Linked DNA regions of Danio rerio. The protein of the gene in region 4 interacts with the protein of the main gene of each other region in a pairwise test. Links are inferred from orthologs where the notes say so. Each region holds a gene or a part of one and is shown on either strand. Other genes may lie near its edges.

Region 1 (3,500 bases), on a different chromosome or scaffold from region 4:
TTATATCAGGGTTATTGTTCTAACATTAAATGTTTTTTGAAATAAAACAAAACTAAAACTCACGCTGAAAAATAGTCATATATATACATATGTTTCCCAGAGATGGGTTGCGGCTGGAAGGGCATCCGCTTCATAAAAACATGCTGGATAAGTTGGTGGTTCATTCTTCTGTGGCGACCCCGGATTAATAAAGGGACTAAGCCCTATATATATATATATATATATATATATATATATATATATATATATATATATATATATATATATTATATGTATGTATGTATGTATGTGTGTGTATATATATATATTAGGGGTGTTACTGTTCACAAAAATGTTCGATTTGATACAGTGGTGTCACGGTTCGGAACGTTTTCGATACAGCAAAAAAAGAAAAAAGCCAGATTGTTTCTCTCGATTAAATTTTTCAATGTATTAAAACTAACATCATAAAAACTATGAGCCTGTTTTTTTTCTTTTACTTTAAACAGTATTAGAGCTTTACTTCCGGGGTTTTTGCTTAGCAGCAAATAAAACAAATCCTTCTTTATACTCAAAACCAAAAAGCCACTTACAAAAAATAAATATAATATTGTAGCAGTTCAACAAATAAAAAGAAAATAACAATTTAGATTGCATATGGAACTCAGTTTCAATTAATTTTGAAGTATTTTTTTATTTTCAGAAGGATGAGTCGCGATGAGATGCACAATTTCGTGAAGATTATCCTTCGTGTGCGGGCATCCAGGAGTCTCCCAAAGCTTCCGGGAGACTTGGGATGTCTGGGATTACATTAACGTTACTCGTCATTTTGCGAGCTAGCGTAGCGAGTGCCTGGAGTAGTGTTTGGAGGTTGGCTCTTTTGTGTCGGGGGTCCAGGGTTACTGGGGCAACAGGGGCAAAGCCAGCACGAGCAGCCAGGCTGACACAGAAGCTAGCAAGATTGCTAATGGGTGCATGCTTTAATAAAGTGATATTCTGAGTTCAAAAGCGATGGTCTACTGTTTAACATGGATTTTAGATGTTAGTCTGAATTGAATCGTTCGGTTTGTAATGTGTACCGAACCGAAAGTCTCGTACCGAACGGTTCAATACAAATATGCGTATCGTTACGCCCTTAAAAAAAAAAAAAAAAAAATTATATATATATATATATACATACACACAGTTGAAGTCAGAAATATTAGCCCCCCTTTCATATTTCACAAATGATGTTTAACAGAGCAAGGATTTTGAGCTGGAACACTCTAGGGACATCTGATACTTATTTTACATCTTGTAAATAGGGACATAATAGGTCATCTTCAAAGCCTAATATCAGATTCATGGCTATTTCTCCCTCCTCACTTATTATTATTTATTAAGAAATATTAGGAATGCTCACCCACATTACACTGTATGTGATGGTCAGGACTGAACCAGGAAGTGTCAGTCTGTCAGAGGAAGTCTAAATCCCTGTGGCGTGCATGTTCTCACTGAGGTCCTGTGTGGAAGGATGTAGATGTCAGTGTTTTTATATTTATCATCAGAACAACCAAACCCACCCGACAACAGATTCATCACCGACTGAACCCGATAGACACGTGAATCAAACTCCTTTAATGCAATAAACACCACTCTTTGCTTGTGCTGAGGAGGAGTTTGTGTCTAGAAAGCGGCTTGCAGATTCTTTCTTAACTCTGTTAAAGGCTGAATTGAGTTAGCTGAAGCAGCGCTTTTCAGAGAGCAACAAAGGGCGGATTATCAAAGCGTTTCATTGCTGTGAAACTGAAAGATGGACGCACATAATTCTGAGATTCCTGAGCGTACAGTTCATGCTGCCTGGATATGATGAGCCTATCAGTGCACTGGGATTCAGTCAGACTCAATGTACAGTAACTCGCTCCTGACCACTTTGCAACACAAAGACAAGACAACTCAGCTGTCGGTGGCTTTTATGTAATACTGCATGCAGCTGAATTTATTATCCATAATGCATCTGAATACTATGATTGACCTCAGAGAGCATGGCTCAATGATGCTTACTCCAGACAAAAAATGCACTTTACATTTACAGCTGAAGTCAGAATTATTAGACCCCTTTGAATTTTTTTTTTTAATATTTCCCAAATGATGTTTAACAGAGGCGAGGCAGTGGCGCAGTAGGTAGTGCTGTCGCCTCACAGCAAGAAGGTCACTGGTTCAAACCTCGGCTCAGTTGGCGTTTCTGTGTGGAGTTTGCATGTCCTCCCTACCTTCGCGTGGGTTTCCTCCAGGTGCTCTGGTTTCCCCCACAGTCCACAGACATGCGGTACAGGTGAATTGGATAGGCTAAATTGTCCGTAGTGTATGAGTGTGTGTGTATGTGAATGTGTGTGGATGTTTCCCAGAGATGGGTTGCAGCTGGAAGGGCATCCGCTGTGTAAAAACTTGCTGGATAAGTTGGCGGTTCATTCCACTGTGGCGACGCCGGATTAATAAAGAGACTAAGCCGACAAGAAAATGAATGAATGAATGTTTAACAGAGCAAGGACATCTTCACAGTATGTCTGATAACATTTTTTCTTCGTGAGAAAGTCTTATTTGTTTTATTTCGGCTAGAATAAAAGCATTTTAAAATTTTTTAAAGGTCAATATTATTAGCCTCTTTAAGCTATATTTGTTTTCGATAGTCTACTGAACAAACCATCGCTATACAATGACTTGCCTAATTACCCTAACCTGCCTAGTTAACCTAATTAACCTAGTTAAGCCTTTAAATGTCACTTTAAGCTGTATAGAAGTGTCTTTAAGTCTATTATTTACTGTCATCATGGCAAAGATAAAATAAATCAGTTATTAGAAATGAGTTAATGAAACTATTGTGTTGAAAAAATCTCTCCGTTAAACTAATTCTGACTTCAACTGTATATTCAGGATTGTGAATGATTAATGGAGCAGATTAATTTAATCACTGAATCATTTACTGGTGGTTTTGAGGATAGATTTTTATATTTACCAACTCCAAAATATGCTTCTGGTTGTTCAGGACTCCCGGCAGAAGTTTCGTGCTGTGCTGGTGGAGGCAACGGTCAAGCTGGACGAGCAGGTGAAGAAGATCGGCAAAGCTGTGGAAGAATCAAAACCATACTGGGAGGCCAGAAGAGCAGCGCGACAGGTCAGATCAGCACACATAATCCATCCAAGCTGCATGGTTTGTTTTATTATACCTTAAGAAATGTGTTGTTTCAGCTCAAATTAAATGAGTAGTTTGAACAAGCAGCCAACATGATTTTTTGAGCGCTGTCAGCCGGCTAGAAATCAGGGTTATGTAATGCAGGTCTGTCTGCGGTGATGGAGGATTGTTAAACAGCAGGAAACAGCTGATGACCGGTTCAAGAGGGCATTCAGAGCCACACACACACACACACACACAGAGAAACACACACACATTTACTGACTCCAACATCTGAGACCGTCTGTACGAAAATACAGGCGACTATACACACGAATGGAAACTATGTAGAAATGTGCCGTAGCATGTC
Region 2 (3,053 bases), on a different chromosome or scaffold from region 4:
TTTTTTGCATTGTAAATCTGATCAAATAAAATAAAGAAACTGCTGTCAGGCTGCTACGAAGAGTCATTATATACATACTGTACGTAAACACACATACTAATACATAGATACCATGATACAGACCCAGAGGCGAGTAATGACCTAGGGAGAATTATTTTTCTTGTTATTTTTTCTTTTTTTTTTACACACGGGCCATGAAGAAATAATGTGCTTTCTTGACATTCCTCATTTTTAGATACTTGTTTCCAGTTATAATCACGATTATTAGACTTATACAAAACAACACCCTTTTTTTATGTGCCCGATGATATTATAATAGTAGAATAAAATGACATCTCAGACTGTTAATGAATTCAGAAGTGCTTTGGAGCAATTACGGAATATCGATGATAAATCCAATGGTTTGGGAAGTCGCGTTCATCATGCAAAAAATCTTGTGGATCTTCATGCAAACGTGTTTATTTGTCACGTTTATGGTTTGGTTGGCTAAAAAGAGTGCCAGTGTAGGTTATAAGGTGAATTATGAAGTATAACTAGTGATTATTGGATTTGTAGAATCTGACGGATTGGATCGACTCAGAAATGTCATTGCATTTGAGTGGCGGATTTATATCAGGAGGAAAAAAAAATGTGTTTCCATTCAACCTGCTTCAATTTGCACTAAAGTCTGAGGTGAAAATGTCTCCTCGAATAGTTCTTTGACCTCAAAAAAAGTCTTTTCCCATTAAAACGAGTCTGTACAGACAGAAAAGAACTCCAAAGCTCTAAACTGGGATTAGAAAAGAAGATCCGGCTGATGTCCGAGTCTCAGTCCAAACTAACAACTGCTGAAAAATCATCCTGTGTGTATTAAACACTTACTCGCTCACTCAAATCTAAACTATCCTGTTGTTTTTTTGCTGGGAAACCCTCAGACGGGGCAGGATTTGTCGGTGGGTGGTGGTGGAGGTGGTGGTGTTGGTGGGATGGTGGTGGTTGGAGATCCCATAGCCGGACTTCCTCCGGCTGAACTGCTTTTGGGGAACACCACAGGCTTGGGTCTGGTGGCTGGAGGTTTGTTATCTCTGAATGTGGAGCCAGAAGCGGTGGTCATGGAGGACAGAGGGCTCTTGGGGCCTGTGGTTTTGCTGGGTCGGAAAGTGGAGGGCATGTCGCTGGCTGAACTGGCGCTGCGCTGCAGAGGATGCTGAGAGGATTCAGCTTCGCGGAGCAGGCGGGAATGGAGAGGGCTGGATGGTTCAGATGTCCCGCCACTTTTGAGCTGCTCCAGTGTGTCGAGAACCACGTCTGGAGCATGTTTGACGTTGCTCTGCCTCTCAAGCTCTCGCAGCTCACTCAGAGCCGTGTTCATAGTGGCCTCGATGTCCTGCAGAAAGAAAACAAATAAAATACAATGTAAATATCTTTACCTAAAACCAACTACTACCTTGCTATTAATAATCAGCCAATTAGCCGTTTATTGAGCTAAAAGACTTAGTTAATAGTTTGTTAATAGCATGAATTGTAAACTAAAATTAAAATGAAGTGTGACTGACAATGTTTATTAGATTGAATTGTTTCTCATAAAGTTTTGTAATGAAAAGCATAAAAAAATTCCATTACACTTATATTCTTATTTATTCAGATTTTTTTGGTTTTACATTTATGTAAAAAATAATCAGAACCAAGAAAGTTTTGATAGTATTCTTATTTTCTTTTTGCTTATTTATTGTTTTTATCTAAAGATTATTTGTAAGACAGCAGAAGAAAATATGTCTGTACTCTCATACATACAGTATAGTCAAAATTAAATTATCTTAAAGGACGTTTATATACTGCATGTTGTTTGCAATATTATTGTATATATTCATTAGTTTATAATCTGGCATTTTAAAGAAAAAAAGCACCATATATTTGTAGTTTTAACCTATATAAATATTTGAATATAACTAAATTCCATAACCTACTTATTAATATAATATAATATAATATAATATAATATAATATAATATAATATAATATAATATAATATAATATAATATAATATAATATAATAATAAATTAATAATTTTAATAATTTAATAATTTAATAAATGTTTTAATTTGTAATAATCTAAGACACATACAATATTAAATGCTTGAATTATATGTAATTAACTGTGTGTGTGTGTGTGTGTGTGTGTGTGTGTGTGTGTGTGTGTGTGTGTGTATATATATATATATATAAGTGTATCTTTGTTGTTGTTGTTTTTTTCAAACTACGAAAGCCACAGTAAAAGGAGTAAAAAGTTCACTTCACTTCTTTTTAAAAAGACACCATCTATTGCTAAATGTTTTCGCTAAGGTCAGACCTTGTAGGCTTTCAACAACAAATCTATAAGATGTCCACATGTCTACAATGACTAAACCACAGAAACTCACACTCAATTTCCAGCAGCCGGGATAGATGGAGCAGCTCTGTCCAACCGTGAAATTACAGCTCAAAGAAAGACAAATACTGTAGAACTCTCTAAAACACACAAGCTCCTCTGGAGACCTCAGCACTTTTTCAGAGAGGAAAGCAGGCTCTCAAGTTGACCTGTGTGTCTACAGTATTTATTAGGGGCCTAAGCACAAGCTGTGTTCCAAGAAACACAAAATTTGGCAGGATGGTTCCAAATTTCCAATATTATCTAAATGCAGACTTGGATTTGCAAGCTGAGACTGACACTTAATGTAGCTAGTGATGTCACTGTAAGGGGTAGGATTAGGGGTGATCATTACAAGCATTACATGCAGCTATGTTTACAACTGCACCGAGTCTGGAGTTTTGGCTCATACCATTTTGAGAAATTTTACATTTGCTCAACCATTTTGAACTGTTTTATAAAATTTTTTCCAACCACCTCCAACTCACACCTGCTTGAAGCTGCAGTCACATTAGAGTTTGAGCGTGCGATATTCTGTCGTGCAGCGCTGCAAAAAGGGGCAGGGTTAAACAAGCTTATTAGACATTTAAAAAAGCAAGTGATTGCTCCATGTTTTAAATTTCTGTCCAGAGATGTCATGTTTTGATCCTTGATTGGTCTCACGCA
Region 3 (4,159 bases), on a different chromosome or scaffold from region 4:
GTGTATAAATTGTAGGGTTTAAAGGGATAATTTCCCTTAATTATTTAACTTACCATTTACCTGCCATCAAGTGCTTCCAAACCTTTAAGAGTTTTTTCCTTCTGTTGAACCAAAAATTGAACAAAAAGAAACAAACACAATATATACAGTAATAACTAATGTTGTGTTTAACAGAACAAAGTAAGTCAAACAGATGAATTTGACATTTTGGGTGAAGTATTTCTTTGGAGACGTTCACTATCTAAATGCCACCAGAGACATTTTCAAAGGGACATTTCACTCAAAAAAGCCAAAAAATTCTGTATATTTTTTTCACCAGCAGGCCATTCAAGACATCAACTTGTGAGCCACAGGTTTTGATTCTGTTCAGCCTGTTATTTATTATAATTTTTTTTCATTAAGGACCACGGCTTCAGCTTAAAACCTTTTAAATGGTCTTCTGAAGAAATAATAATTTTAAAAATAAAATAAAATGCATGTATGACTGACGACGCGGTGATGCAGAAGGTAGTGCTGTCGCTTCACTGTAAGAAGGTCGCTGGTTCGAGCCTAAGCTGGGTCAGTTGGCATTTCTGTGTGGAGTTTGCATGTTCTCCCCTTGTTTGCGTAGGTTTCCTCCGGGTGCTCCGGTTTCCCCCACAAGTCCAAAGACATGCGTGACAGGTGAATTGGGTAAACTGAAATTGTCCGTATTATATGTGTGTGAATGAGAGGGTTTCCCAGTGATGGGTTACGGCTGGAAGGGCATTCGCTGTGTAAAACATGTGATAAATTGGCGGTTCAATCCGCTGTGGCGACTCCAGATTAATAAAGGGACTAAGCCGAAAAAAATGAATGAATGAATAAAATACATGCAGTTATAAAATAAATATGGTGTATTTTAATTCAACACCAACTTTGCCACCGAGCCCTCTCCTCCTTTCTTTCTGAGTGAAGTAAGAAACAGGATTCAGGTTTTGCCACAGACACCTGATATTACTGGCACTGTGTTGAAATCCATCCATTAGGCTTTGCCCAGCACTTCACATCTACTATGGTGTGTGTATTAATATCATTGTGTGTATATATGTATATTGATATTAACTTACACAGCCTTTAAAGTAATCTAAATGTTTTCATTTAATTGAAACCAGTTTTGCAATTCATTGACTTAAGCAAAAATATGGAAACTAGGCCCAACACAATCGTATGCCTATATACATGCCTATATAAACAAACTTACAATCCACATCCAATAAGGCAGACAACGTTTGTTTGATATTAAACATAACCATCCTTGCAATTATATAAAACATAATAAACGTTCTACATCACATGTCAACACCGTCATTCAAGTATCGCGCGCGCTCCCGGCAGCTCGTGCACTGTGAATCACGTCCTACGTCACCGAGTCACACTTGCAGCGCGCGTGAGTGAGAGTATGGTCGCTGCTCTCGGTGGGGTTGAGGGAGGTTGTTTGTAGGCGCGGGCCAAAAGCTGAGCGCATGCTTTTTTTTAAACACTAGCGGAAGACCACTAGCTTGCTTTAGCGTCATGAGTAAACCGCTGTTTAGTTCTTTGCTACCGTACGCTTCGCGTTAATTTGGAAGCTGAAGTGAACCGAGCAAGGTGCAGATGAAGAAGAGAGGATGCTGGAATGAGTGACGAAACACAGCAAACATCATGATGGAGTCTCACTTCACCACAGCATCACTGTGTTCCCGCTGCTTTCGCGCTTTAAAGTCGCAGTTTGTAACGCTGAATTTCGATATTTAAGAAGGAGTATTGTTTGCTTTCGTGCTGCTCGTGAAGCCGTTGTTTTGTTTGTGTTGGTAGTTTTAATCGATGCTCTGGAATAATCGCGCTGAGTAAGAGGAAGCCTTTCCTGGTTGATATAATTAACGTGCTTACTGCATAGGGTACATTTCGCTCGTTCATTGTCTACTGTATAATGTTGTATATAAAATAAGTAAGCTGACTACTCGAGCCATGGACTGTGTTAAAATACTAGTTAAAGTTGAACGTGGACTCTTGAGCTTTGACGTTGACATCATGGATAGACGCGGCTGATTTTCATCGAACAGGTGAGTCACATGAGCCAACGTTAATCTAGTGTTTATGTGCACTCTTACAGGGATGGGAGGAGAAGGAATCTATGTTTTAATTCGTGTTCTTTACCTGTTTTACTAACTATTCTGTTAGCATGTTTTCCTAAAAAAAATAATTTGAGTAGAATCAGGGGCGGACTTGATGATTTGGGGGCCCTGAGCAATTCCATGTATAGGGCCCTAGCATTGAAACAAAAAAGATATTTGTTTTCTCTCTAGATAATTTTTAAAAATATATATATTTAAAGTGGAACCTTCTTAAACTTAAAATCTCAATACAATATATTTACAAATAAAAAACAAGCTCACAAACTATGTACAGTTAATTAGCCATACTTACGATTTGTGATTAGATTTTAATATTTGCATGTGCAGTATGATATGGAAGGATTGTTCCACTATTCATGGGACCCGTGGATTTAGAAAAGAAATAATAATGTCAACATTTTAATGGTTTTAGACAAATTTTACAACACATGATAGAAAAATTATAAAATAGCTTCAGAATGATTAATATAGGCTTCTTGGCATTGTTGGCACTGTTTTTCCAGGGCCCTAAGCAATGAAAGAATGACATTGAAGCGTTGTCTGATTGACAAGCAGCAGCTACATGTGTTCAAAAGAATCTAAAACTCTAATTAGGATGAATCTATGCCAATTTTTCTGAAGTAATACAATCTGTATCTAGCTTTTCGCTTGTACGGTGGCTCTGAACTGTTAAAACACCTTTAAAAAAAAGAGGCTTTTTCGGACATGACATATTTGTACACATGCACATCACTGTAACATTTTTTATTCAAGAACATTTGAGCTGGTTTTAGTCCTTAGCTCTTTCATTTTCATTTTGTTTAAAATATATTGAACTTGCTTGTTAATTCATTCCCAATTTGTTATTTAACCTATTTATTTTTATGCAACAGTCAAGTTGCATGTTAATTTGCTATAAAGAAAAGGAAATAATTTTGTTTGTGCATGCTGATTTACGTGAAATCGTGAAAATAGGTCTATATAATCACCTTGCAATTTTGAAATTATTGCTTTTTGCTTTGAGTGTAGACTATTCAGTTCATAAGAGCAGTTCAATCTTTTATGAAGTTTGCTGTTTGCTGCCTATATACATTAGCTATCGGCATCCAAGTCTGAAGAGTTATATCCGCCAAAAAATTTATATATGTGCATCCTTAACCTCACTTATTAGTAAAGTCCACCCCTGTGTAGAATAACATTAAAAATCCAATCACCATTGCGTTAAATGCTCTCAGCACTGTTACAAAATGTAGCACATCACGCAGTTATTTTTAATAATGCTAAAAGAATAAAATAGTTTGCCATTCATTTATGTAAAGTGAGTCAGGTACTTCTCAGACTGATTCACTGCTAGAAGGTCAGAAAATAACCTTATGATTCATTTCTTCCACCTAACGTATTTCGACAGAAATCGTGCCATACTTGTGTATTTATATATGTGTACTTTATTTAAGTACACTTAACAATTACAGTTAAGCATTATATTTAAAAAAAAAACCCATCTAAATATTGGTTAGTAAGTGTTCATTAAAGGGATTGTCAGCCTATTTCTCTAGAATAGCAGTGCAGGAAATAGAGTAATTTATGATGTTCTGCATTTGCAAAAGAAAGCTAATAAGGTAATTTATTGAGTCCAATATTTTACAAATAAATCATTAAATTATATAACAAATTAGGGTTGGGCCGATAAACAATATTTTATCGAATCGCAATAAAATTTATGTCATTAACAATCATAAGCTCTGGACTTTTTTACTCTATATTGATCTAAGACCCAATCACGCAACAGAAATGTGCAACAATGGGAATCTTAAAAGTGTGTTGATATTAGAGGTGTACCGAGTTTTTGGCTGCCAAAAATGTTTTGTTCGAAAAAATGTTATTTAATTGACCCTCTAATTTTTGTGCCTTCAGCCATTCTCGGTTTACTCTTTTACATCTTGAGGCATTAACAACTTATATTGAAATATATATTGTTATTGTTCAATATATCACTAGGGCCAGACAGAATCTCCAGATATTTTTGGCTATTTCTGCTCAGAATA
Region 4 (3,500 bases):
CTCCGGGTGCTCTGGTTTCCCCCACAGTCCAAAGACATGCAGTACAGGTGAATTGGGTAGGCTAAATTGTCCGTAGTGTATGTGAATGTGTGTGTGCATGTTTCCCAGAGGTGGGTTGTGGCTGGAAGGGCATCCGCTGCGTAAAAACTTGCTGGATAAGTCGGCGGTTCATTCCGCTGTGGCGACCGCGGATTAATAAAAGGACTAAGCCGACAAGAAAATGAATGAATGAATGAATAATAAATAAAATATGCATTCAATTAAAAAGCGTCTCTATATGTCTATATAGAGTTATATGTCTGTCTATATAATCTCTATATAAAATCTCTAGATATCTATAATGTTACAAAAATCACATTAAAATACATTCTGTGCTTTTCTTGTAAATATCATTTATCACAGTTTTCAGCATTAATAAAAAGGAGAAATCTTTTTTTAAAACAATATTATAATACAATATTGAGCATATTTGAATGATTTTTGAAAAAAAAAAAACATCAGTATGATTAATGCTAAAAAAATAAATGCTAAAAATTCAGCTTTTCCATCAAAATATTTTAAAAATTGTAATAGCATCTCACATTATTTCTGTTTACTGTACTTTTAGCAAGTAAATGCAGCCTTGGTGAGCATGAGATACTGAGTGTTTTCTCTGTTTTTGTGTTCCAGATCTTTGAGCAAGTTTTGAGTGAACTGGAGCCGTTGTGTCTGGCTGAACAAGACTTTATTAGCAAGTTCTTCAAGCTGCAGCAAATTCCTACACTAGCTCAGGTATAGTATAACGTACTGTAACTTCATATAAAAAACTTTTGGTAATGGCAGCTTAAAGACGCCTCTCATATGGAGAAAGAAGTCACAAGCATTGCTCAGATGTGATTTTATAAAACAAATTTACAGACATCAACAGATCGTAAAAATCTTAATGGTTCTGTGGGTCTCTTCTATTAAATCTGATCTTTATTTTGTATTTTCTGTTGGATTCAATTGAGTGATTGGCTGAGCCATTATATAGCTTGATTTTTTTTTTTTTCTCTCTGAAAGTATTTAAGAGTTTCCTTGGCTGTGTTTTGGGACATTGTCTTTCTGAAATGTCCACCCTGGTTTCACCTTCATCATCCTGATAATGTAGATGTTGAACTGAAGCAGCTGCCAGCTAATATTTATTTACAATGAGAAAGGGCAGAGGGTTGCTGAAGAACAAGAGATTTCAGCTGCTGACTGGGCTATCACTGTCTTTCTACACCTCCCTTCTTTAATGCGTTTAATACTTTTTACCTGCATAATTTAATTTTATCATACATAATCTAATTTGTTAACTAATTAGATTTGTTTTTTTTTTTGCATATATGGATTTCTTTGGTTGTTACCAACATCCGAATTATTTCAAGTCAATGCCACTTTTTAGAAATATGTTTTCTGAGAAAAATGGTGATGCGTTAAATATTTATTTTCCCCACTGTATATGCATGTGCATTTTATTTCTTTATGACAGTGTTTTAATGATCTTATAAATGTGGATTAGGGAGAGAACATGGATGATTCTGATGGACTGATGCACTCCAAACCGGTCAGTGAACACAGACATTCAATATCTGAGTGAGTGACCATTTTCTTCAGCTAATTTATTTGACAGCCAAATCTGTTTTTAAACAAGAAATAATCACACATCCACTTCTCTTGCAGGAAGGACATGGTTCGGATGATGATGAATAAGATATTTCAGAGTATTGAGACGGAGCTGAACAGTCTTATAGCTTTAGGTGATAAAATAGACAGCTTTAACTCTCTCTACATGCTGGTGAAGATGAGTCACCACGTCTGGACAGCAGAAAATGTGGATCCCGCCTCATATCTCAGCACAACCCTGGGCAACGTGTTGGTCACCGTCAAGAGAAACTTTGATAAATGCATTGTAAGTGGAGCTCAGGTCTTGAATATTGATGAATGTGAGATCAGCATTTGAAACTTCTTATGTTTCTGTCATTCTCAGTCAGCCCAGATTCGTCAGATGGAAGAGGTGAAGATTTCTAAAAAGAGTAAAGTGGGCATCCTGCCGTTTGTTACTGGTTTTGAGGAGTTCGCAAAGCTGGCTGAGGCTATTTTCCGGAACGCAGAGCGACGAGGGGATCTAGACAAGGCCTACATCAAACTGATGAGAGCTGTGTTTAATAACGGTGAGTGTCGCTACCCGGTTTCTCATATAGTTTTTCATTTGTCACTACTGGTTAATTGCTTAATGTAAGATTTTTTTTCTTTAAAGAATCCAAAAATCACTAGAACGATGTTATATATTTTGCTGTCTTAAGAACTTATATTATCCCAAATGTTTCAAAGGTTTGTCCTGTGTCAGCATGCTAATGATTTCATACATCCTCAATTTCTGGTTTAGTTTAATAGAAAATGGGGAAAATAAAACTTAGGACGCTTTAATATGTATGAGCAGCATTGTAACAAAAGTCTAATATGTATTTAGCAGTGTTGGGTAAGTTACTTTAAAAAAGTAATAGATTACAAATTACTGACTACTGGAAAATTCTCATCTAATTACATTACTAATTCCTTCATGTAAAAAGTAATCAGAATACTAATTACTTTACTTTGAAGTAGGGCTGGGCGATTATTCGATATCGATAATTATCACGATATAAAATTTTTCGATAAAACGATAATGACAGTTCGATAATTGCTCGATAATATTTACACACTATGCGTAACGTTGCGCAAGGATTTTGCAGCCTGCCCTTCCGGATGCCACACGCCGTACAAGTTTACAGCCATACAGTGTTAGTTGCACTGAAAGGAATAAGAAAGAAATAAGGTAAAAAAGGTCAGAGTCACAGACATTGTTGATAAGAAACATCACTAGACTTCATGTGCTACTTAGTTTTCGCTATCCGACACAAAACAGAGCAACGTGCACCGCAAACTGCTTAGATGACTCGTGTCATCAAATGCAGGCAACACCACGACCTGTTTCACCATGTAAAACAAGACCACCCTTATAAAGATGCTAAGAAATTACAGACATTAACAAGTGTTGGCAAACCAGCGCAGCTACCCAGCAGAGTCTCATTTCATTGTTTTCGAAAGCCGTGCTACGAGAACCCCCCTCCCCCCCCCCCCCCCCCCCCCCACGGGGGAGGACAGACGCAAGACATGACAGACGACACAATCTCAATCACATCTCAATGAACACTTGATGCTTGCTTATAAATGCAGCAAATATATGACAGACGTTTACAACAGCAGTGGATCATTAATTAAATAAATTTTTTTCACTGAACGAGCGAAGCATCATTCACCCGCAGTTGTTTAAGGCGGGCACGAACTAAATAAATATAAACACATTTTCAAGGAAATATATCTTTTTGTAACGAATTTCGTTTTGTATAATGTGTAACTTAATTTTGATGTATATTTTGTTGGTCATATCTACAGCATAAACAAGAGGAACGAATAACATTTAAGTTGAAGCGCTTTAACACAAGCCTGCTATATGC
Region 5 (3,500 bases), about 750 kb from region 4:
ACCATGTTGGAGCCCCTTTTGCCTTCAGAACTGCCTTAATCCTTCGTGGCATAGATTCAATAATGTACTTGATATATTCCTCAGAGATTTTGGTCCATTTTGACATGATAGCACCACGCAGTTGCTGCAGTTTTGCCTTCTGCACATCTATGATATGAATCTCCAATTCCATCACATCCCAAAGGTGCTCTATTGGATTGAGATCTGGTGACTGTGAAGGCCATTTGAGTATAGTGAACGTTTTGTCATGTACAAGAAACCAGTGTAAAATGATTCGTGCTTTATGACATTTCGTATTATTCTGCTGGAAGTAGCCATCAGAAGATGAGTAAACTGTGGTCATAAAGGGACGGACATGGTCAGCAACAATACTCAGGTAGGCTGTGGCAGTGACACAATGCTCAATTGGTACTAATGGGTCCAAAGTGTCCCAAGAAAGTATCCTTACACCATTACACCACCAGCCTGAACCGTTGATACAAGGCAGGACGGATCCATGCTTTCATGTTGTTGATGCCAAATTATGACCCTACCATCTAATGCTGCAGCAGAAATCAAGACTCGTTAGGCAACGTTTTTCCAATCTTCTATTGTCCAATTTTGGTGAGCCTGTGCAAATGTAAGTTTCCTGTTCTTAACTGACAGGAGGGGCACCTAGTGTGGTCTTCTGCTGCTGTAGCCCACCTGCCTCAAGGTTGGACGCGTTGTGCATTTAGAGATGCTCTTCTGCATACCTCGGTAGTGACGAGAGGTTATTTAAGTTACTGTTGCCTTTCTATCAGCTCAAACCAGTCTGGCCATTCTCCTCTGACCTCTGGCATCAACAAGGCATTTGAGGCAACAGAACTGCTGCACACTGGATATTTTTCCCTTTTTCTGACAATTCTCTGTAAACCCTAGAGATGGTTGTGCGTGAAAATCCTAGTAGATCTGCAGTTTCTGAAATACTTAGACCAGCCCATCTAGCACCAACAACCATGACATGTTTAAAGAAATTTGTTTTAACAAGCAGTTGGACAGGTGTACATAATGAAGTGGATGGATGGATGGATTGACTTTTTTATGTAAGTGGTGAACGGTACACTTCCACTAAGCCTAGAACTCATCAGCCAGTGTCTTCATTTCTCCAGATCAGTTTATTAATATTGAAATTAAGTAATTAATATACATGAAACATGCACAAACATGAAGCTTCTCTGTATGTCCTAAATGAATTAACTCATTGATCAACCTTTTCCCATTTTTTTTTCTCTCTTTCTGACTCAGGCGTGAGGAGTTATTTGAAGGAGGCTTTGGTCAGCATCATCTCTGTTCATGCTGAGGTGAGAGAACAAACCCTTCTGTAAAAGATGACTTTTTAGACCTTACTCCAGAAAAAAGGCACATGTTCTATTCAAAACTCTAGAGAGCTGTTTACAGCATTTAAAGGATATGCAAACTATGCTTTCTGGAAAATTATTTCATCAGACTTGGCATAAAAAAAGCATATAAATCAACTGTAAATGTACACCACAGTTCAACATTTTTTTTTTAAAAAGTAAAGTTTTGCTCACTAAGCTGCAGAAGTACAAATTAAAATACATTTTTAATTTTAAAATACTCTATTATGTAACTAATTCTTCATTTATTTGTAGCATAGGTCAACATAGATTTTCTGTATTCTTCTGTTTTTGCCCAGGTTTTCACAGTTTCCAAGGAGCTGGTTTCTCGTGTTCTTTCAAAGATCATCGAGGCTGTAGCAGAAGAAATGAGTCGCCTCATGCAGTGTGTGTCTTCTTTTAGTAAAAATGGTGCCTTGCAGGTATGGTAGCATCCTTCACATACACAATAAGCATTTGATCTGAAAATACTAAAATTGACATTACCCTTTTTATATTACTCTCTCGAGGCGCGTCTGGAGATCTGTGCTTTGCGAGATGCTATAGAGCCCTATCTCTCATCAGAGAGCTGGTAAGACATGCGACTGCAATGAGAAATTTAAACAGAAAAGGTGAAAACTGTTAGTATGTTAATGCTCATGATCTTTTCATTTGTGTCTCAGCACTAGTTTTAAGCAGGCATTGGAAGCGCTTCCACAGCTACAGAGTGGAGCTGACAAAAAGTAAGTTACACTTCAGTATAGTTACAAACATGACTGAAACCTTGACACTGATAACACAAAACTATTTAATATTTAATACTAACTGCTATTAGAGATTATTAGAAATGGGGATGATGATTATTAAAACCATTTAATTGTGATAATTTAGGAATGACTTTATTATGCAGATTGGTGCTCTAGAAATCAAAAGTTGAAAATGGTTTTGCTGCTTATTTTTTCTGGAAATTCTCTGATTAAATGTTACTGTATCTTTTGATCAATAAGAGAGTTTACAAGTACAGCATTTGACGTTTTTTTAAACATTATAACCATTATTACTATCAATTTAATGTGTTTTTTCTGAACTCAATCCTCGTGACCTCAAAATTTCAAGTGGTTATGTTTATTTTTAAATAATAACATTTGTGGAGGGGTAGTGAAAATGCAAGGGCAAGTTAAAATGATAACTGTCAGGTTGGCTGGGCCAACACATCTTTACATTTAGCCAAAACTGAAGATTACAAATTACGCTTGATTTTAAACCAGCCAGTAGTGCATCAGTAGAATCAGATCATACGTCTACACAAATCAATTTTGGTTTTATCCTGGAACATTACTTAGAATTGAGTATTTTGTGTTTACCAGAGTGTTTTTTAATATCTCTTTTCTACATGTATCTCTTTCTCTTTTCTCAGACTCTTGGAGGAGCTACTGAATAAGTTTAAGAGCAGTATGAAGCTGCAGCTAAATTGCTTCAAGCCTGCCTCATTTCAGCCTGTAAAGCGATAAACCTTCACAAAGCGCCAACATTTCAATTACTCTTTTGCATTGTAACACTAAGAAACCATTTCAATTTTAAAAACCATTAAAAGCCAATTTAGTGCCACTAAAATAGCTTTTTCCTTTCAGAATAATTAACTTGACCAGTTGTACTGCCTCTTCATTCACCTTAATGATCACAGTTTTGGTTTAAACTAAAATAAATTCATGTATGCTTACACTGAGTGGGTTTTTAATGTACATTAATGTGCAAGAAATGTGCCAGGATTCTGTTTTTGTGTTCGTGTCAAAGGGATAGAAATTTGCAGAGTTTTGCATTTTGTGGATGATACGGTTGAGTTCAGAAATGACTCTTGTCTTCTTTTTTCAAAAGAGTCGTTTCTCTTGAAGTCTATTATGACCACTGATGCATGCACACACCCTGTCTGGTGTCAGATGGAAAGAAACACACCCTGCCACCTTGAGGAAGTGTTTAATGCTGGGAGGTGGCCTTCACTCAAAGAGCACTGGCATGTGGTTTGGGAGTTAAAGAAATAACTGATTAGAACACACGCTAGACACTGAGTTAATATGATTTTTTTATTTAACCTTTATTTTATTATATAGGCTTTTTGTGCTAGTAAACAATCTGTAAAGTTAC
Region 6 (3,961 bases), on a different chromosome or scaffold from region 4:
GATTAGTTCAAATGGCTGATTCATTTACAAAATGAAGCTTAGTCTGTAAACAGTTTCCCCTAATTATTTAAAAAAGATTCATCCAGAAATAAAACACTGCACTGACATTTACAAATGTCATTATCTGGCTTTGAATGAAATAATTTTCTTTGATTAAATGGAAGAAAAAGACAATATAATGTTTATAATTTTTTTAAAATAGAAGTCCGGTGACAACCAGGGGTCTAGGGGAGAGTCCTAGGGGGTCTGTGAAAATGTTAGACATTTAAAAATCTGAAGTTGAATAAAAATATATTTAATAAATAAATAAGTCATAAATAAAATAAAAATGCCAGTGTTTTGAAATTTAAGAAACTATACTGCATGTCTTTTGACTGTGGGGGAAACTGTAGCACCTGGAGGAAACCCATATGAATACAGGGAGAACATGCAAACTCCATACAGAAATGCCATCCAGCTAGGACTCAAACCAGCGACCTGCTTGCTTGATTTAATTTGTTGGTCCACTTAATCAGTTTGCTATGCAATTGCCACTCATGGGAGCAAGCCTATTCTCTCTTGGAGTCCAAATCAACTCTTAACGACAGTACCAAACAACAGACTTAAGACCTGGCAATGCAGAGGAACAAACACCATTTAAAGAAGCCAGGGACACTAGTCAGCCATTCTGTCCTAGATTGATATCTTGTGTCAAAACAAGAAGCTTAAGTGTTTTTACTCTGTCTTGTCAGCCTAATAGAAAAGCTGAGACTAGTTTCAGCCTGACTGAGTTAGAAGTTACTGATGCAATCTCTTTAAAGCCAGCTCATGCGTACTGACTAGAAATGGCATGACTGGAAGGAGAGAAACAGGAGGGAAGTCAGAGAGTATTCGCTGAATCATAACAGCTTATGTAATATACTTCACATATTTTATTATGAATGAGTTCACGTATAAATCATGACAGTAATGAAAGTCAGTTTTACGGTGTATGCTTCTCTTTTAGCTAATTACTGTACCCTCTATTGTCATCATTATTGCTATCTACTATAATCAGCAATTTGAAGAGTATTTAACGTTTGTAGTTCTAATATGCAGACGTTTAACTATTCAGGTTGTCCTCTTCATGTTAGCATCTAGAGAGAGTTTGAATCATTTACTTTAGCTCTGTCTTTATAGTCCACTAAATCAGTGATGACTCCATGTTATTGAGACAGAGAGTTATGTGCAGATGCATTTGCTTCTGGCTGTGAGTACATCTTCTGCTCATTGTTTCAATGTTGCTGTTTGAGTTTGACTACAAAAGAAGATGGCTGAATACAGGCTGAGGTTGTGCGTTAGTCAGTGTACATGACTACCAAATTTAGCATTTTTTTTCTCTACTTCTGTTTTCTCTAATAGTGTACAGTTCACAGCATTCCATGCATTTTTAAATGGCTATAGTTATTTCAGCAGATATCTATCTCAAATGATATTTCCAGTGAGGATTCAATGTATCCTTGCATTGATTGATTTAAGCCTCTAAATATCACTTTAAGCTGTATAGAAGTGAAAGATATCTAGTAAAATATTATTTACTGTCATCATGGCAGAGATAAAATGAATCAGTTATTAGAAATGAGTTATTAAAACTATTATGATTAGAAATGGGTTGATTATTTTTTTTTCTCTCTGTTAAACACAAACTGGAAAAAAACAGAGTGGCTAATAATTCTGACTTAATAATATATAATTATTAACTTAATTATATATAATTCATAAAATATTACTAAATATCAATAAATAATAATATATAAAATATTATATTTTATATTAATAAATATTAATAAATAAAGTTTTGATGGGTGTATTAAAATTATGACATTATATAAGAAAAATATATTTTAATTTTGTTTGTTGAAAAACATTATACTTAAATTACATTTTTATTATTCTCTAACAAAAAAAATACACTAAAAAGTGTTCTTAAATCAGAATGCACTGACATATATCTTAAATCAGAATGCACTGACAGAAAATGCACTGACATATATTTTAATAATAATAATAATAATAATAATATTAACACGTATTAGTTTAGATTTTACCAAACATAAATGTCTCTTTGCATGCACAGCACACTTTTACAGTGTTTTAGAACGTTCTGTGAATTCACAGCACACTGAATTTCCTCTCAAAAACAAGACTTTTACCACAAAGGCGAAGGGACGAGTAAAATGAAGTAAACCAAAGATGATTGACAGTTACCTGACTTACAGACGTTCAGCTTGTTGACAACTGTGCAGTGACGCCTCTGCCCCGCCTAAAAATGAATAAATAAGAAAATAAATACACAACTAATTATAAAATAGCTAACTAAAATGACGAAGATGAATAAAACAATCATAGGCTACGCGGTAATCAACAATCAACAATAGCGTCGCGTTTGGTTTGTCTCAGTTAACATGTTGAGTAGAATACGCATTTAATCCATACCTATAATAATACAGTTTATATACATTATATTTGTGAAAATATGTCCTTTAATCCATAATATTATGGAAATAAGAGTGTGACGCAGACGGTAAAGACACTTGCCTCGTGATGCGCTGCTGATTCCTGCGAGTGAATGAGAGAAAGTGAAGGATGCGCGGCCCCGTGGCTCCTCAAAACAACACAATGCGCGCTCTCGCCGCTCTGCTGCTGTTTTGATGCGATGTGAAGGACTTTCAGCCTCTGTCTGCTAGATTATTCAGCACAGCATCAGTGTGTGTGTCTGTGTGTGTTTGTGCTCGAGCAGAAGAGGCTGAGGACACTGACATCGCCAGGACAACGCAAATCTGACTAATGTTTCGAGTGTGTTATGTAACGCGCAGCAGAAATTAACCCTTGTGTGGCGGATCGGGATTTAACAAGTGGGTTTACTGACGCGCACGAATTTTAATGAGCAATGACGACCTTATGCTTTTGGCAAGTGAAAAGCTGTTAGAAACCTTTAAATAAATGGGATTGTTACGCCACTTTTTGGACTGACAAACGTGTCTCTTGTCAAGTAATCTGAATTTATATGTAGCATAAATACAATATTGTAAAAATAATTTAAAAACTTATTCTTTTATACAATGCATTTTCTATATACAGTTTGCATAGTTTATAAGTCATAGTTTGTGATATGTATTTAATTCAGATTCTCCTCAGTGATACTGTAAAAAGGGACCGTATTTAACACTATTATACTTTTATTATATATCTTTTAATTTTTAAATGATAAATAATACTTTTAATTATTATGAATAGTTAATATGTAATATTTAAAGTTATAGTTTTAACTTATCAGTCACTTTTCACTATATTAAGGGCAGCCTTAATTGAGTAAATATTATAAATTATGACTTATTACGACTGATTAGGCTTTATAAAATATAGGGTAAATGTCTTATTGAAAGTATTACAGTAAAAATAGTAATAGTTTTATTGCCAGACAAATTGTAAATTACATGACTGCTTTAGAATACAGTATAACTTTAATTGTTTTTTACGTAATTAAAAGTATATTAATTATGAACTAGCAAAATATGCTAAATGAAACCCAATTTTTTTGCATAGTATCAAAATGTAACATTATGTATCAGTATGTAACAATTTTTTTGCATTTTTGCTTGTGCATATTTGCTTATTTTATTTGTTTGTTTGTATTTATTAAAATAACTTGCTGGCAAATTACGAATGCATTTCAGCTACCAGTGATTGGAGAATTTTAGGTTACTCTTGACTATGCAAAACCAATTTTATTAAATAGAAATCTGTGTAAAGAGAGCATTTTCTATACAATGTATTGTCTATATACAGCATACCTATAGTTTAGAAGTAATAATTTGTAATATGTATTCAATTAAGATTTTCCTTACAGTGATGCAATAAAAAGGCACTGTATTACAAGTTAAAACTATAATTATTATTTTATAATTAGTTTAATTTTTTAATGATAAATAACACATTTAAT
Region 7 (4,262 bases), on a different chromosome or scaffold from region 4:
GATTTAATTTTCAAAAATTAAGTTTCTGTGAAATCGAACACCCAGATCTTTGACAGTAAAACTAATACTAACGCTGCATTCTTCTAATTGCAGGTTGATTTATAAACTTTTGGAGTATTACTGTGGGCCCCAACAAAAATGACGAGCGTAGGTACAATGTAGAGCTCAGAATGTAGGCTAAACACACACACACACACACACATTGGGTTTTCTTGGTTTCCCCAAATACTCTAAAACAAATACTGAGCTGTATTAACCCAACAGTTGGGTTAAAAAGGTACCTAAATTGAATTAATAAAATTAAATATTCATTAAATTAAATATTTGACTCAACGGTTACAACAACCCTGCATTTATTATTCAGATATGCACGTGTTTCTAATGTATATCCTGTTCTCTTTAACCCTACACTACCCAACATTCGCAGGAAACAATCTGCACTTTAACATGTACAATATACATAATTCTCTATGATTTATCACTAGGTCCATATGCAATCTGTGTGCGCAGATGTTTAGCCCATCATTAATTCTGTTTATTAACTTGAGTAAATGTGTGTAAATCTATATTTATTCAGATTTTTAATTAATTACAGAAATATTATTGACTAATATGAAAATATCCATATGGTTTATGTACAATGCAGTCTACAGTAATATGTTCTGTATTTTAATAGAGATATTATATGAGAGACTTGCTTTGCTTACCAAATAAAGTGAATCTAATTGAATTTGCATTTTAAACATTAAATACAGGTTAAAAAGATATTATTTAAAAATAATTTTAATATTTTTTTTGTTTCACATATTAAGGTTTACTCCCAAAATAATTTCGGAGAAATCATCATATTTTTACCAAAATTCTCTGCCGAAATAGCAAAAAACATCCGCAGATCGCGTCTGGCCCTGGTTATGACCTTAAATTCATTCAGGTTTAGTTCAGTGTGTATAAACCTGAACACACACACAGACATAATTATCGCACACAGCTCATGAACAAACTCGATGAACTGTAAGCTGCACAATTGTTTAAATGATGTTTATTTGTTTCCAGTTGTGCATATTGGCATGTAAACAGGAACTGCTCTGTAATTGTGCACAGAATGGAGAACAGCGCTGTATCCAGCAGGCGGCAGCGATGAGTGCTTCCCGAGCAGCGCTGAGAAAAGTAATACACACCACGTGACAGCAAGTTTGCCTCAACAGAGGTGATATTATATAGATGTACGACTCATATCTGCTTAACAACGGTGTGGAAACTCATGTGAAAGTGTTTAGGTGAAATCAGACAGCGAGAAAGGCGAAAACATCCGTTTGCTCCGCTGAAGCCCCGCCCAGCAGTGTCCAGCGGCCACGCCCTGCTCCGCATCCCTCCTGACAACAGCAGCAGCAGCATCAGCAGCAGCATCAGCATCCTCCTCCTTCACAACACACATTTAGCACAGGGCAACACAAAAAACGCTGCATTAATAACAGCATCGTCTACTCGACGGGGTTTTCTCTCCAGCATCTTCGGCCGTTTCTCCGAGCAGACGCCATTTGCTCGCTCGACTCCAGACCTGAGCGCTGCCGTCCTCTGCCCCGCTATAAACAGCGCTTCTGCTCTCAGATAAAGCTATAGATATATATATTGTGTTCTGCATCATCATGACGGACGCCGCCGCGGAGTGTAACATTAAAGTGCTCTGCCGCTTTCGGCCGCTGAACCAGGCCGAGATCCTGCGCGGGGACAAATTCCTGCCCACCTTCCAAGGGGACGACACGGTCATCATCGGGGTAAACACAGCATTTCACTCTATATTTCTGTTTATTCGCGTGTGTGAGGGGTGGATTGTGAAGAGATGCTGCTGCAGGTTGTGTTTGTGTCAGTATGACGTCAGCAGATAGAGATGCTGCCGAGGCCTTATGATGAATACAGCAGGCCCTAATCATCATCATCATCATCATCATCATCATCATCATCATCATCACAGGCCTGGAGAATCAGAGGGTGGATCAGTTCATCATTCTAAAGAACATCCACCCTATTTTTCTCATTCAGTTTAAATAAATAATGCATTGTATCCTCTGTTTTGTGCTGGATTAGCTCGCTCTATAGGTATTATAATGTTGCTTTGTGGTGATTCTTACACCTTAATTTAATCAGAAAACACTCTCTGAGATTAATAATCTCTTTAACAGGAGTGTTCAGGTCAGAATGAGCAGGTTACAGACTTTACAGGACACATTAACACATTTAAAACAGTTACACTGAATTTAAATGCTTCTCATTTTGTCTTCTAGTCCAAAAACAAAATCTAGTGAAGCACAAGCTGCTACCTTATTTTGTGCTTTATTAAGAGGTTTAAAAAATGCATTTTATCTTCTAATCAGTGCTGCATTCGCTTGTCTGATAGTATCATCATATAATCTTTTGGAAGCTCCATTATTTGTTTTTGTATATTTATTTAATTTTTCTGTAGTCTAAATATCTAAAAATGCTTAAATCAAGAAGGATTTTCTTGATAAGCAGGAAAAATGGCTCATTTGATCATTTTTTTGCAGTTATTCAGCTTATTTTGTGTTTAATTAAGATGGTTTATCTACTATTTTGTGCTGGATTAGCTTGTCTGATGACATTATAATTGTATGTTTTTTCATTAATTTTAAACCTCAGTTTAATCAGAAAATAATCTGAGATTAATAATGTCTTTAACAGGAGTGTTCAGGTCAGAATGAGCAGGTAACAGACTTTACAGGACACATTTAAAACAGTTACACTGAATTAAAAGGCTTTTCATTTTGTCTTCTAGTCCAAATAATCATATTAAGCAGAAGCTGTGGTTCCTCAAAGCATTCTGATTCACCTTATTTTGTGCTTTCAATTTGTGGTTCATTTGATCATTTTCACAGTTATTAACCCCTTTTTTGTGTTTAAATAAGAGATTTCTGCATTTTATCTTCTACTTTGTTCTGTATTAGCCTGCTACACTGCAAAAAATGCTTTTCTTACTTTATTTTTTTGAAAATCTAAAAGTTCTTAAATCAAGAAGCATTTTCTAGACAAGCAAAACTTATTGTCTTGTTTTAAGAAATAATATGCCAAAATGAAGTGAGTTTTTTCTTAAATCAAGCTAAATAATCTGCCAATGGGGTCAGCAAAATAATCTTATCACAAATCGAAAACAAGACAACGTGTTTTGCTTGTCTAGAAAATGCTTCTTGATTTAAGAATTTGTAGATATTTGGACTAGAAACAAGACAATAATCTTAGTTAGAAAAGCATTTTTTTGCAGTGTAGCTGGTATCATAATGAATGCTTTTTATTTAACCAGAAAAGATTCTCTGAGATTAATAATCGGTTTCTGATCAGAATGAGCAACAAGACTCAGTTTACACATGGCAATAATGCTTTTCCTACTGAGAGTTTGTGTCCTGTTTCTATTCCAAATATCTAAAAATGCTTTAATCAAGAAGCATTTTTAATGAGCAGAAAATATAGTGTTGTTTTTAGCAATAATGAGTCAAAATGAAGAGAGTTTCTCTGTAAAACAAGCAGAATAATCTGCCAACAGGAGGAAGCAGAAACTTTGAAATAGCATTACTTCACTCACCCCTCTAGCAGGCACAGGCTGCCAGCATGACGTCAGATTGATATTGTACGTCATGGGATCATTGCATTTTGTTTGGAAATGAAAATTAATTTGATGTCAGAACCTGACATCAGGCTGATGTTGTGTGGACGTTACCAACATGACGTCTATCAGATGTTGGGTTTTAGTTACCTTACCTGAAGAGTAAATGTCAGTATCTGACGCCAATATGATGTTGATTTAAGATGTTGACTCGAGGTTTGATTTTGGTCACTTTCCAACACAACCTAAAATCAACCAAATATTAATGTCATTTGACGTCATTATTGGAAATGAAAATAACGTTGTCATCAGACGCTGGCTGACATTGATTACTGTTCAGCTGACGTCACAACCTAAATCTAACCTAATATTAACTCATGATGTTGTGTGCCTGCTGGGACAGATAACATTCCTTGTTTAAATGTAAATATCACTGCATTTTGACTCTGAAAAGAAAACTGTTTTTTGCTAGTCTAGAAAATGCTTCTTGATTTACTTGAATTTTTAGATATTTGGTTTAGAAACAAGAAATAAATCTTTAAAAAAATTTTTAAAGATTTAAATTTTATGAGATTAGTGCTTTAAATGTCAAAAATGAAGAAAACATGGTGAGATGTTGCTTGTTTAGAGCTTCTATCAGAAGAAAAAC

Evidence for each region.
Region 1: the proteins of exoc1 (region 4) and sh3bp5a interact in a two-hybrid assay, tested with the Homo sapiens proteins (2 studies listed by BioGRID and IntAct). The link is inferred for Danio rerio from reciprocal best matches to the Homo sapiens genes EXOC1 and SH3BP5.
Region 2: the proteins of exoc1 (region 4) and srgap2 interact in a two-hybrid assay, tested with the Homo sapiens proteins (2 studies listed by BioGRID and IntAct). The link is inferred for Danio rerio from reciprocal best matches to the Homo sapiens genes EXOC1 and SRGAP2.
Region 3: the proteins of exoc1 (region 4) and ccser2a interact in a two-hybrid assay, tested with the Homo sapiens proteins (2 studies listed by BioGRID and IntAct). The link is inferred for Danio rerio from reciprocal best matches to the Homo sapiens genes EXOC1 and CCSER2.
Region 5: the proteins of exoc1 (region 4) and exoc2 interact in binary tests that used the Homo sapiens proteins (3 or more experiments, as listed by UniProt). The link is inferred for Danio rerio from reciprocal best matches to the Homo sapiens genes EXOC1 and EXOC2.
Region 6: the proteins of exoc1 (region 4) and sybu interact in a two-hybrid assay, tested with the Homo sapiens proteins (2 studies listed by BioGRID and IntAct). The link is inferred for Danio rerio from reciprocal best matches to the Homo sapiens genes EXOC1 and SYBU.
Region 7: the proteins of exoc1 (region 4) and kif5aa interact in a two-hybrid assay, tested with the Homo sapiens proteins (2 studies listed by BioGRID and IntAct). The link is inferred for Danio rerio from reciprocal best matches to the Homo sapiens genes EXOC1 and KIF5A.

What each region holds. Positions count from the first base shown.
Region 1 is NC_133194.1:2,328,163-2,331,662, forward strand, and holds part of sh3bp5a (SH3 domain-binding protein 5), read left to right. Parts: intron 1-1,381; exon of another isoform or gene 1,382-1,480; intron 1,481-2,974; exon of another isoform or gene 2,975-3,004; coding exon 3,005-3,133; exon of another isoform or gene 3,134-3,291; intron 3,292-3,500. UniProt on the Homo sapiens protein: Functions as a guanine nucleotide exchange factor (GEF) with specificity for RAB11A and RAB25. Inhibits the auto- and transphosphorylation activity of BTK. Plays a negative regulatory role in BTK-related cytoplasmic signaling in B-cells.
Region 2 is NC_133186.1:23,504,428-23,507,480, forward strand, and holds part of srgap2 (SLIT-ROBO Rho GTPase-activating protein 2), read right to left. Parts: intron 1,367-3,053; coding exon 911-1,366; 3' UTR 1-910. UniProt on the Homo sapiens protein: Postsynaptic RAC1 GTPase activating protein (GAP) that plays a key role in neuronal morphogenesis and migration mainly during development of the cerebral cortex. Regulates excitatory and inhibitory synapse maturation and density in cortical pyramidal neurons.
Region 3 is NC_133192.1:28,006,502-28,010,660, reverse strand, and holds the start of ccser2a (serine-rich coiled-coil domain-containing protein 2), read left to right. Parts: upstream 1-1,359; 5' UTR 1,360-2,063; intron 2,064-4,159. UniProt on the Homo sapiens protein: Microtubule-binding protein which might play a role in microtubule bundling.
Region 4 is NC_133195.1:28,542,360-28,545,859, reverse strand, and holds part of exoc1 (exocyst complex component 1), read left to right. Parts: intron 1-669; coding exon 670-771; intron 772-1,522; coding exon 1,523-1,596; intron 1,597-1,683; coding exon 1,684-1,912; intron 1,913-1,990; coding exon 1,991-2,174; intron 2,175-3,500.
Region 5 is NC_133195.1:29,287,910-29,291,409, reverse strand, and holds the end of exoc2 (exocyst complex component 2), read left to right. Parts: intron 1-1,266; coding exon 1,267-1,322; intron 1,323-1,678; coding exon 1,679-1,801; intron 1,802-1,888; coding exon 1,889-1,950; intron 1,951-2,041; coding exon 2,042-2,101; intron 2,102-2,775; coding exon 2,776-2,869; 3' UTR 2,870-3,078; downstream 3,079-3,500. UniProt on the Homo sapiens protein: Component of the exocyst complex involved in the docking of exocytic vesicles with fusion sites on the plasma membrane.
Region 6 is NC_133191.1:43,563,962-43,567,922, reverse strand, and holds the start of sybu (syntabulin), read right to left. Parts: upstream 2,801-3,961; 5' UTR 2,557-2,800; intron 2,282-2,556; 5' UTR 2,227-2,281; intron 1-2,226. UniProt on the Homo sapiens protein: Part of a kinesin motor-adapter complex that is critical for the anterograde axonal transport of active zone components and contributes to activity-dependent presynaptic assembly during neuronal development.
Region 7 is NC_133184.1:250,127-254,388, reverse strand, and holds the start of kif5aa (kinesin family member 5Aa), read left to right. Parts: upstream 1-1,462; 5' UTR 1,463-1,646; coding exon 1,647-1,775; intron 1,776-4,262. UniProt on the Homo sapiens protein: Microtubule-dependent motor required for slow axonal transport of neurofilament proteins (NFH, NFM and NFL). Can induce formation of neurite-like membrane protrusions in non-neuronal cells in a ZFYVE27-dependent manner.